2 linked regions of the Oryctolagus cuniculus genome follow. The protein of the gene in region 1 interacts with the protein of each later gene in a biochemical or structural test. Links are inferred from orthologs where the notes say so. Each region holds a gene or a part of one and is shown on either strand. Other genes may lie near its edges.

Region 1 (4,571 bases):
CCTCCTCTCTGTCGTGCACCGGACCCCTCCTGCTCCCTGGACGGGGCCTCTTTGCCTGCCTTTTGCCCACGCTGTTCCCTCCACAAAGACACCCTTGCTGTTCAGTCTCTGTTCTTCCTGCCCTTCAAGGCCCAGGTCACGGGTCGCTTTCTCCACTCAGCTCTCTTAAAATCCCCGCAGCCCGGATTGTCTTCTCGCTGTGTGTTCCCTTAGCGTTTTCCTACCCTGCGTGTTGGTGGGAGGCAGCTGTGGTGGGAGGAGGCCAACTCCAGCCTGATTAGTAGGAAGCTGGGCTCCAGGAGGAGCCGGGGTGGGTGACCGGGCTGTGTGTGCGGTGCAGGGAGAGGAGCTCCCACCAGCCTCGCAGCCAGGCCATCCAGGCCGATTTAATCCTTGGTCCCCATTTATGCGCATTTAGTAGACGAGACCTGCAGAAAGAAAGAAACTTAGGTACAGCGGAGGTGGGTACCCATCCCAGGTCTCCAACCGTCTCTTTCTGTTTCCTGTCACCGCACCAGGTTGCAGGAGGGAGGGGACTATTTGGAATGCAAAGAACACTTAGATTGGGAGCAGGTGGGTCTGGCCGAGGGGTGGGGAGTGGGATGGGGGGAACTGGGAAATACACCAAGGGGAGCCGGAAGGGTGCTTCTCCTAAGCCAGTGTGCCTCTAGTATGAGTGTGTGTGTGTGTGTGTGTGTGTGTGTGTGTCCTAACCCAGTGACCATGCCTCCAGTGGTGTGTATGTGTGTCCTAACCCAGTGACCATGCCTCTAGCGGTGAGGGGAAGGGGAGAAGAGACACAATCCTGGCTTCCCCAGGAGGGCTCCGTAGAGGGTGCCTAAAATGGATAAAACCCTTCTAGAAGCATGAGGGCCTGTTATCTGGACACGAGAAGGCGAGCCCTGCCTGCTTAGGAGGCAGATGGGGAGGCCGGTGCCCCTGGGGAGGGGCAGCGTTGTACAAAGTTGGGACCTTATGTTTTGCTCAGAAGAAAAAAACAAAAATGTTTCAACGTTTATTTAAAAAAACAAAAATGTTTTTGAAAAGCAGGAAAGAAAGGCCACCTTGAGTAAAGTAGAACCAGCAATCCCAGGGCTTCAGAGTCTGGCCCGCCCCTCTCTGAGCCCTGCCTGCCTCTCCTGGCACGGCTGCCCCAGCTGGTGGCCCTGGCAGGCTGCCCGGGACTGGTTCTACCCAGCCCCAGACCCAGTCACATTGTGACAGCACTGCTTGTAAGCAAGTTGCTTACCCACTGCACTCTCAGTCTGCCCCTCTATGAAATGGGCTGTCAGCAGCACACACTCTGTAAAGGATGTCCTGGTGTGTCGGTTTGCTATGTGTTCCTTCGATGTCAGCTTTCTGCTGGAAATACCAGGAGCAGAGCAGGAAGAGGGCTTGCTGAGGTCACTCGGGAGAAAAAGACTGAGCTGTGCTCCCCACAATTCCTTGGTGTGCCCATTTAGCATGCACTTAGTTAGCATCTGCTGTATGCCAAGCTCTGTGCTAAGTTTCCGCCCCGCAGCTGGGGTGCAGGGGCGGCCGCGCCCAGTCGGGTCGGATTCAGTGGGAACCCAGATGTCTCCAAGATCCCTGACAGATCCCCGCCCCGGGGGCCCGCTGGGGGCCCAGCCCTGCCCCGCGCCCTCCCTGCGGGGCGGTCCGGGCTTGGGCGGGATGGGCGGGCGGCTACTTAAGGGCTGCGATCCCAGGGCCGGGGCTGCGGGTCCTCTGCTGTCGCCGCCGCCATGGCTCCGCACCGCTCCGCGCGCGCGCTGCTCGGCGCGCTGGTCCTGGCGCTGTGCGCCCTGTCGCCGCCGGCCCTCGCGGCCACCGCATCGCAGAGGGTGGCTCCGGCACGGACGCCCCAGGCGCGGGTGAGTGCCCCGGGGGGCCCGGGGCTCCCGGAGTAACTCTCTATTGTAAGTTCTTGCAGATACAGCGCTAGGAAAAGGGGAGTAATTCAGGTCTAGAATGGAAAAACTGTTTTGTTGCTTTGTAAGTATCTCTTGCTGCTCCAGGGCTCGGCGGAGGGCGGGAGCCTGGGGGCCCTGGCTGCGTCCCTACGCGAAGGCTAACCTCACCTTGGCCGGAATTCTCCTCCCTCCCACCTTCTGATTTCTTACCCATCTCTGCCACCTGATTTCTCCTTTCCTTGCCTAAGGTCTCCTTCCCACTGCCTGTCTTCTTCCATCTCCCCCTCCTCTGATGGCTCCCGCCCTCCCCGGCATCTCCCTCTGTCTTATGTGTCCTTTGGACCATCACAGGTTCTCACCTCCCTGCAGTCTCCCTTGCTCTGTTGAGTTTCTCCTCTCCCAGTGCTGTTCCACCCCCTGCCTGAGTGCCTCTCTCTGTCTCATTCCTCTCACTTCTCACGTTTTGTTGCCCCCAGATCTCCCCGGCCGAGGTGACCCATGCCTGCTGACTGCCACCCCCAGCTCCTGCCTAACCCCGCCGGCCGCCGTCTCTAGCCCCCCCTCCCCACCCTGCATGTCTCACAGCCTCTGCCCTTCCTTGGGTACCTCGCCTTCAGCAGGCTCCTGCAGACCCCCGGGGGGATGTCAAAAAATGGAATTTGGGGGTGGGGTGTTGGGGGGCAGGAGGGAGGAGGCAGACAGCGCAGGAGGCCACTTGGGCTCAGCCGTTCAGACCCTTCCTGGGGGGTGTGAAGGGGATGGAGGGGGCACAGGAAATTGTCCCACGTGGGACAGAGGCACACAGGCTGCAGACGTTGAGCTGTCCCCTCCCCTCTTTGGGCCTCTGTGTGCCTATTTGCACAGTAGGGGTGGATAAGGAGCACTCTGAGAGCCCTTTAATCTTAAGAGCCGTGGAGGGTGCTGGAAGGGAGCAAGCTAAGCCCCTGGGGACCCTTGGGTTTACCATTGCCATTTGGGGCGGGGGGCTACCCAACAGCCCGGAGCGTGGAGAAGTCCTTGCTCTGCTGTCACCTGGCTTGGGGTCCCTGTCACAGTCCCTGCTCCTGCCTGCACCTCAGTTAACATGGCCAGTGACAGTACCAAGGGGAGGGAGAGGGAGGTAGATCCCTCTGTCCTGTCCCCCGGGAGCTGAGTGGGAGGGCCAGGAGCTTGCAAGGCACAGGGTCTGGAGCCGAACCACTGGCCCTGTTCGCTAGCTCACCAGGACAGAGGCTCCTAGGAGGCAGACTCCCCTCGGGTGTGGAAAGAGCAGTGGCTCAAGTCGGACGCTCTTGGTGCTGGAACCAGCCTCCCTCGCGCCCGGGGTCTGTCCCTGCCGAGCCGAGCCGCGGGCCCCTGCTCAGGCACTGCCTGTCTCTCTCCAGCCCAGCAGCATGGTGGTGGAACACCCCGAGTTCCTCAAGGCAGGGAAGCAGCCTGGCCTGCAGATCTGGCGCGTGGAGAAGTTCGACCTGGTGCCTGTGCCGCCCAACCTCTATGGAGACTTCTTCATGGGCGATGCCTACGTCATCCTGAAGACGGTGCAGCTACGCAATGGGAACCTGCAGTACGACCTCCACTACTGGCTGGGTGAGGCTGCCCACCCATCCAGCCCCTGCCCAGCCCCTGGCAGGGCAGCTGGCTGTGGTCTGGAGCTTGCTGCTTTTTACTTAATGTGGAAGGCAGAGAGAGACACCCAGAGACAGACAAAGAGCTTGTCTATCAGTTGGTTCATTCTCCAGATGTCCACAACGGCTGGGACTGGGCCAGGCTGCAGCCAGGAGCACGGAACTCCATCCGGGTCTCCCACATGGTTGATAGGCCCCCGAGTACCCGAGGCATCACTGCTGCCTCCCAGGGTGCACGGTAGCAGGAAGCTAGAGCCAGAAGCAGAGCCAGGACTTGAACTCAGCACTCTGCTATGGCGTGTGGGCCTCCCAACTGGCATCTTAATTGCTGTGCCAAAAGCTCGCCCCTGATTATCATCAAGCAGACCCCTCCGTGGCTCCCGTCACCCCCAAGTTTGTCCTTCAGAGTCAGGGGCTCTGCTGTGGGGTGCTTTGAGCCCTGTCACCTGGCCGAGCCTCAGTTTCCTAATCCATACTTGAGTTCGTGCTCAGGAGAGCTGAACAGGAGTGCAGAGCAATGTATCAGAGCTAGGATGACCCTTAGAGAAAAATGGGGTCCAGGTACACTTCCTCCCTCCCCTGTACCCATTATATGGAGGGGTTAACCGAGGCTCACAAGAGGCAGGGGCTTGCTGGGCTTTCCCAGCTAGCCCAGGGCAGTGCTGGAGCTTCCTCCCTGGGTGGGATGGGGGGTGCCGGGACCCCTTTCAGGAAGCCTGGCTCATGCTGCCCTGCGTCGCCTAGGCAACGAGTGCAGCCAGGACGAGAGTGGGGCGGCCGCCATCTTCACCGTGCAGCTGGATGACTACCTGAACGGCCGGGCTGTGCAGCACCGTGAGACCCAGGGCTTCGAGTCGGCCACCTTCCTTGGCTACTTCAAGTCCGGCCTCAAGTACAAGGTGCGTGGGCCCCTACTTTGCTGGGGATGGGTGCGCTGACAGCAGGGCTCACTCAGGTGCACCTGTCTTTCAGCCATGTGGGGTGATTGCAGAGGTCAGAGGTCAGCTTTGGGGTTTGAATCCTGGGCCTT
Region 2 (4,293 bases), on another chromosome or scaffold:
GTTGTACTTCCTACCACAGAACTGTTCTTGTCCCCTTCCTTTCGTCAGCTCCCCTCTTCTCCCAACCTGAGACAGGCACCAACCAGATCAGCTCCATTGACCCGCCCCTCCCGTCCCACCTTACCATAAGTAGATCCAGATTCTTCTAGAAAATCTGAAAGGCATATCCCCGTATATCAGTGATATAAATAGAACCTGCTGCAGGCTCTGCTAGGTGGTGACTCTCCAAGGTGGACTGGGAGGCAGCCTGGCCTTGGCCAGCATCATCCGCTAAATATAAAGATGAGTTTGTTCCGCTTTCGCATAAGGAAAAACTAGCACTCATCCCAAGTGCAATGTCCTCGTCCTCTCTACTGGGAGGAAAGTCCAGCCCCTCACCCATCGCCACCTCCATCACCTCCAGATCTAGCCAGTCCAGCCTGTGACCCTTGTCTTTCAGCCCCAGGAGAGGGACTCACGTTGTGAGTGCCACCCAGAATTGGGAGAGGAGGTGGGAAGAGGGTGTTCAGCTCAGCCTATCCCAAGCAGGGTCTGCCAGTCCTGGAGAAAGGGAGCCATCGCACCCTCACTCTCTTCAGGAGCTGGAGAGCTGACTGTGCCGCAGCCAGGCCCACAGCTCAGGGTGCCCTGGCTTCGCTCCTGATGGTGCCAAAGCCACTGCCTAGCCTGTCCCTGGGAGCCCCCGCACCTCCTCCCCACCCCTCCTACCCCAGCCTCCCGCTGCCAGTTGTCTACCCTGCGACAGCTGCGCGCCCTCCAGCCGCCAGTCACTCTATTCGTGATGGGGGAAGGGACCGGCTTGGGTCAGCCCTCCGGACACAGGGGAGCTCCGGGATGGGGAGGGGGAAACGGAAATGGAAATGGCTGGCAGCGCTGGGCTTGCCTTGTTCCTTGCCTGGGGTGTGGGAGTGGTGTTTCCAGGCCTCCCAAGCCCACCACTACACCCTGCTCTGTCTCCCAGTAACTGCACGTTGAAGTTTGAGTCTGAGTAAAGAACTCCCCCAGCGGGGTGAAATGCTAGTATGGGAAGCCAGCGGTTAGGCACCAGCCCGTGTGTGCAGAATGGACAAGGATGGGGAATCCGTTGGGACAGGTGCAGCTCTCCGAGCACAGGCTGACACAATGCACCCACGGGCGCACGCGGTGACCCTTGCCCCACCCTACCCCTCTGGCTGACAACTGAACCCAGCAGGGAGGGGCAGCCGTGCTGGGGAGACACTCCATATACGGCTCGGCCCGCGTTACCTGGGCTCAGGCCAGCCCTTTCCTTCTATGGTCAGCACAGGACACCCCGGGCGGGGGCATAGGGCACTAACCCGCCTAGGGAGGCGGCTGTAGTGCCCAACACCCAAATATGGTTCGAGAAGGGCAGCGACATTCCTGCGGGGCGGCGCGGAGGGAGTGCCCCCGGGCTATATAAAACCTGGGCAGGGAGACACTCGGTCACTGCAGCGGACAGCGCCGAGTGAAGCCTCGCTTCCCTCCCGCGGAGACCAGGGCCTGAGCCGGAGCGCAGCAGGTGTAGCCACCCGCCCAGGTAGGGCGGGAGTGGGAGAGCGGGACGAGGGGACAGGGTACCACTGAGCGCCACCTAAAGGACTCGGGGATCATGCAGCCGGCTCACCTGTGCCCCATGCACTTGGTTCGGTCCCCAGAGGCACAGAGCTTTAAAAAGGAATCAAGCATGCCAGCGGACCTCTGGAAACTTAGCTGCATTTATTTCTAGCCCCTTCGGGCTGGTGTACCTGGCACTGTGGATGCGCCTAGGGAGCGGGCGTTAACTAGGGAGATTGACTTCACAGAGGTTAACCATGCTTTGGTTCTCTGAAGAGAGAATCACTGGAGAAGAAAGGCAGCAAGGGCCACTGCTCTCTGGGCTGGCAACAGGTGCAAGGGTTCCCCATCTTGGATGGGGCACCTGGGCAGCCAATGGGCAGACAGCTCAGTGCCCCCTCCCTAACAAATGAGGCCCCGGAGGCGCACAGTGGGTGGGCACTAGGGCCTCGCTCTTGGAGCTGGTGGCCCGCAAAGCCTCAGGGAACCCTGTGCCCCTGGGTACCAGAGCGCAGGACTTCTCAGTTTGGTCTCGCGACCCTAGGCCCCTCTCCTCTGTGCGCTATAGCATTGAGCCCAGGAGCGACTGTTGGACCGGGCCCTCTGGCCGCCGCCCTGGCGGGAGGCAGAACCCTAGAGACCCGGAATGACTTTAGGGCGCTCTGGAGGGAGGGCGTCCGGGGTACGCCGCTGCCGAGGCCCCTCGGCTGACGCTCCTGCTTCTCCGCCAACTCTTTGATGGCAGAAACCAGACACCATGTGCGACGAAGACGAGACCACCGCCCTCGTGTGCGACAATGGCTCTGGCCTGGTAAAAGCTGGCTTCGCCGGCGATGACGCCCCTAGGGCCGTGTTCCCGTCCATCGTGGGCCGCCCCCGCCACCAGGTCAGCCCGCCGCTCGGTGGAGGGAGCTGGGCTGGGATCCCGGTGCCCGCCGGAACTGCGGTAACGGGTTTGCTGTGTCTCCCACCGCGCAGGGCGTCATGGTGGGTATGGGTCAGAAAGATTCGTACGTGGGCGACGAGGCTCAGAGCAAGAGAGGTATCCTGACCCTGAAGTATCCCATCGAGCACGGCATTATCACCAACTGGGACGACATGGAGAAGATCTGGCACCACACCTTCTACAACGAGCTGCGCGTGGCCCCCGAGGAGCACCCCACTCTGCTCACCGAGGCCCCCCTGAACCCCAAGGCCAACCGCGAGAAGATGACCCAGATCATGTTCGAGACCTTCAACGTGCCGGCCATGTACGTGGCCATCCAGGCCGTGCTGTCCCTGTACGCCTCCGGCCGTACCACCGGTGAGTGCCAGACCGGTTACGCACAGCCCAGGCGCGGATGAGTCCTCTCCCCAGTCCCCGACGCCCCGCCTGGGCCCCACGTCCGTCCGCATCCAGAGCTCTGGGAGAGGGATGGGGGGTGGGAGCAGTGCTCGCCCCCAGCCTCGAGCTTCCCCGGGCCCCGCGAGGACTCGGGACAGCGGCTGCGGGGAGCGGCCGGCCGCTCACGCAGCCGCCCCAACCCGGCGCAGGCATCGTGCTGGACTCGGGAGACGGTGTCACCCACAACGTGCCCATCTATGAGGGCTACGCGCTGCCGCACGCCATCATGCGCCTGGACCTGGCTGGCCGCGACCTCACGGACTACCTGATGAAGATCCTCACTGAGCGTGGCTACTCTTTCGTGACCACAGGTGCGCGGCTCCCGGGGCACCCAGGGTCGGCGAGGCAGCGGGCGCCAGCCCCGGGGTCCCCGCGCTGAGAACTCATTCCTCTCCTCCTGCCCCTGCCCCTCGCAGCCGAGCGCGAGATCGTGCGCGACATCAAGGAGAAGCTGTGCTACGTGGCCCTGGACTTCGAGAACGAGATGGCCACGGCCGCCTCCTCCTCCTCCCTGGAGAAGAGCTACGAGCTGCCCGACGGCCAGGTGATCACCATCGGCAACGAGCGCTTCCGATGCCCCGAGACGCTCTTCCAGCCCTCCTTCATCGGTGAGCGCCGGCCGCCCGTCCCCGGGGCCCGCCCCGGCTCTCCTGGGCCCGCGCCAGGCCCCGTGGCGCTCTAGTGCGCGCTGAGCCCGCTCACTGCTGTCCCCCTCCGCGCCCCGCAGGTATGGAGTCGGCCGGCATCCATGAGACCACCTACAACAGCATCATGAAGTGCGACATCGACATCAGAAAGGACCTGTACGCCAACAACGTCATGTCGGGGGGCACCACCATGTACCCCGGGATCGCTGACCGTATGCAGAAGGAAATCACGGCTCTGGCCCCCAGCACCATGAAGATCAAGGTGGGCCGGAGCCTGGGCTCGCGGGGCGGGCGGGCTCCGGGGGGTTGGGGGTCCGCTGGGGGCCTCCACCTTACTGACGCCCGCTGTCTTGCAGATCATCGCTCCCCCCGAGCGCAAGTACTCCGTGTGGATCGGCGGCTCCATCCTGGCCTCGCTGTCCACCTTCCAGCAGATGTGGATCACCAAGCAGGAGTACGACGAGGCCGGGCCCTCCATCGTGCACCGCAAATGCTTCTAGACGCGCGAGCTGTCCCCAGGCCGACAGATCTGCGGCTCTGGCAGGTGGCTGAGCTCCGGCCGCCGGGCGGGAGCTTCCTCCGTGACAACTTCCACTGCTGCCACCGCACACCCACGCACTGCTCGCCACGTGTACATACATTCACCTACTTTACCTCATTTTGTTATTTTTGAAACAAAGCCCTGTGGAAGGAAATGGAAAACTTGAA

Evidence for each region.
Region 2: the proteins of GSN (region 1) and ACTA1 are reported together in a solved structure, tested with the Homo sapiens proteins (3 studies listed by BioGRID and IntAct). The link is inferred for Oryctolagus cuniculus from reciprocal best matches to the Homo sapiens genes GSN and ACTA1.

Annotation. Positions count from the first base shown.
Region 1 is NC_091432.1:225,292,215-225,296,785, forward strand, and holds the start of GSN (gelsolin), read left to right. Parts: upstream 1-1,704; 5' UTR 1,705-1,745; coding exon 1,746-1,874; intron 1,875-1,924; exon of another isoform or gene 1,925-1,971; coding exon of another isoform or gene 1,972-1,995; intron 1,996-3,298; coding exon 3,299-3,503; intron 3,504-4,285; coding exon 4,286-4,440; intron 4,441-4,571. UniProt on the Homo sapiens protein: Calcium-regulated, actin-modulating protein that binds to the plus (or barbed) ends of actin monomers or filaments, preventing monomer exchange (end-blocking or capping).
Region 2 is NC_091444.1:90,180,571-90,184,863, reverse strand, and holds the start of ACTA1 (actin, alpha skeletal muscle), read left to right. Parts: upstream 1-1,209; 5' UTR 1,210-1,519; exon of another isoform or gene 1,520-1,537; intron 1,538-2,299; 5' UTR 2,300-2,311; coding exon 2,312-2,440; intron 2,441-2,532; coding exon 2,533-2,857; intron 2,858-3,087; coding exon 3,088-3,249; intron 3,250-3,354; coding exon 3,355-3,546; intron 3,547-3,665; coding exon 3,666-3,847; intron 3,848-3,941; coding exon 3,942-4,085; 3' UTR 4,086-4,293. UniProt on the Homo sapiens protein: Actins are highly conserved proteins that are involved in various types of cell motility and are ubiquitously expressed in all eukaryotic cells.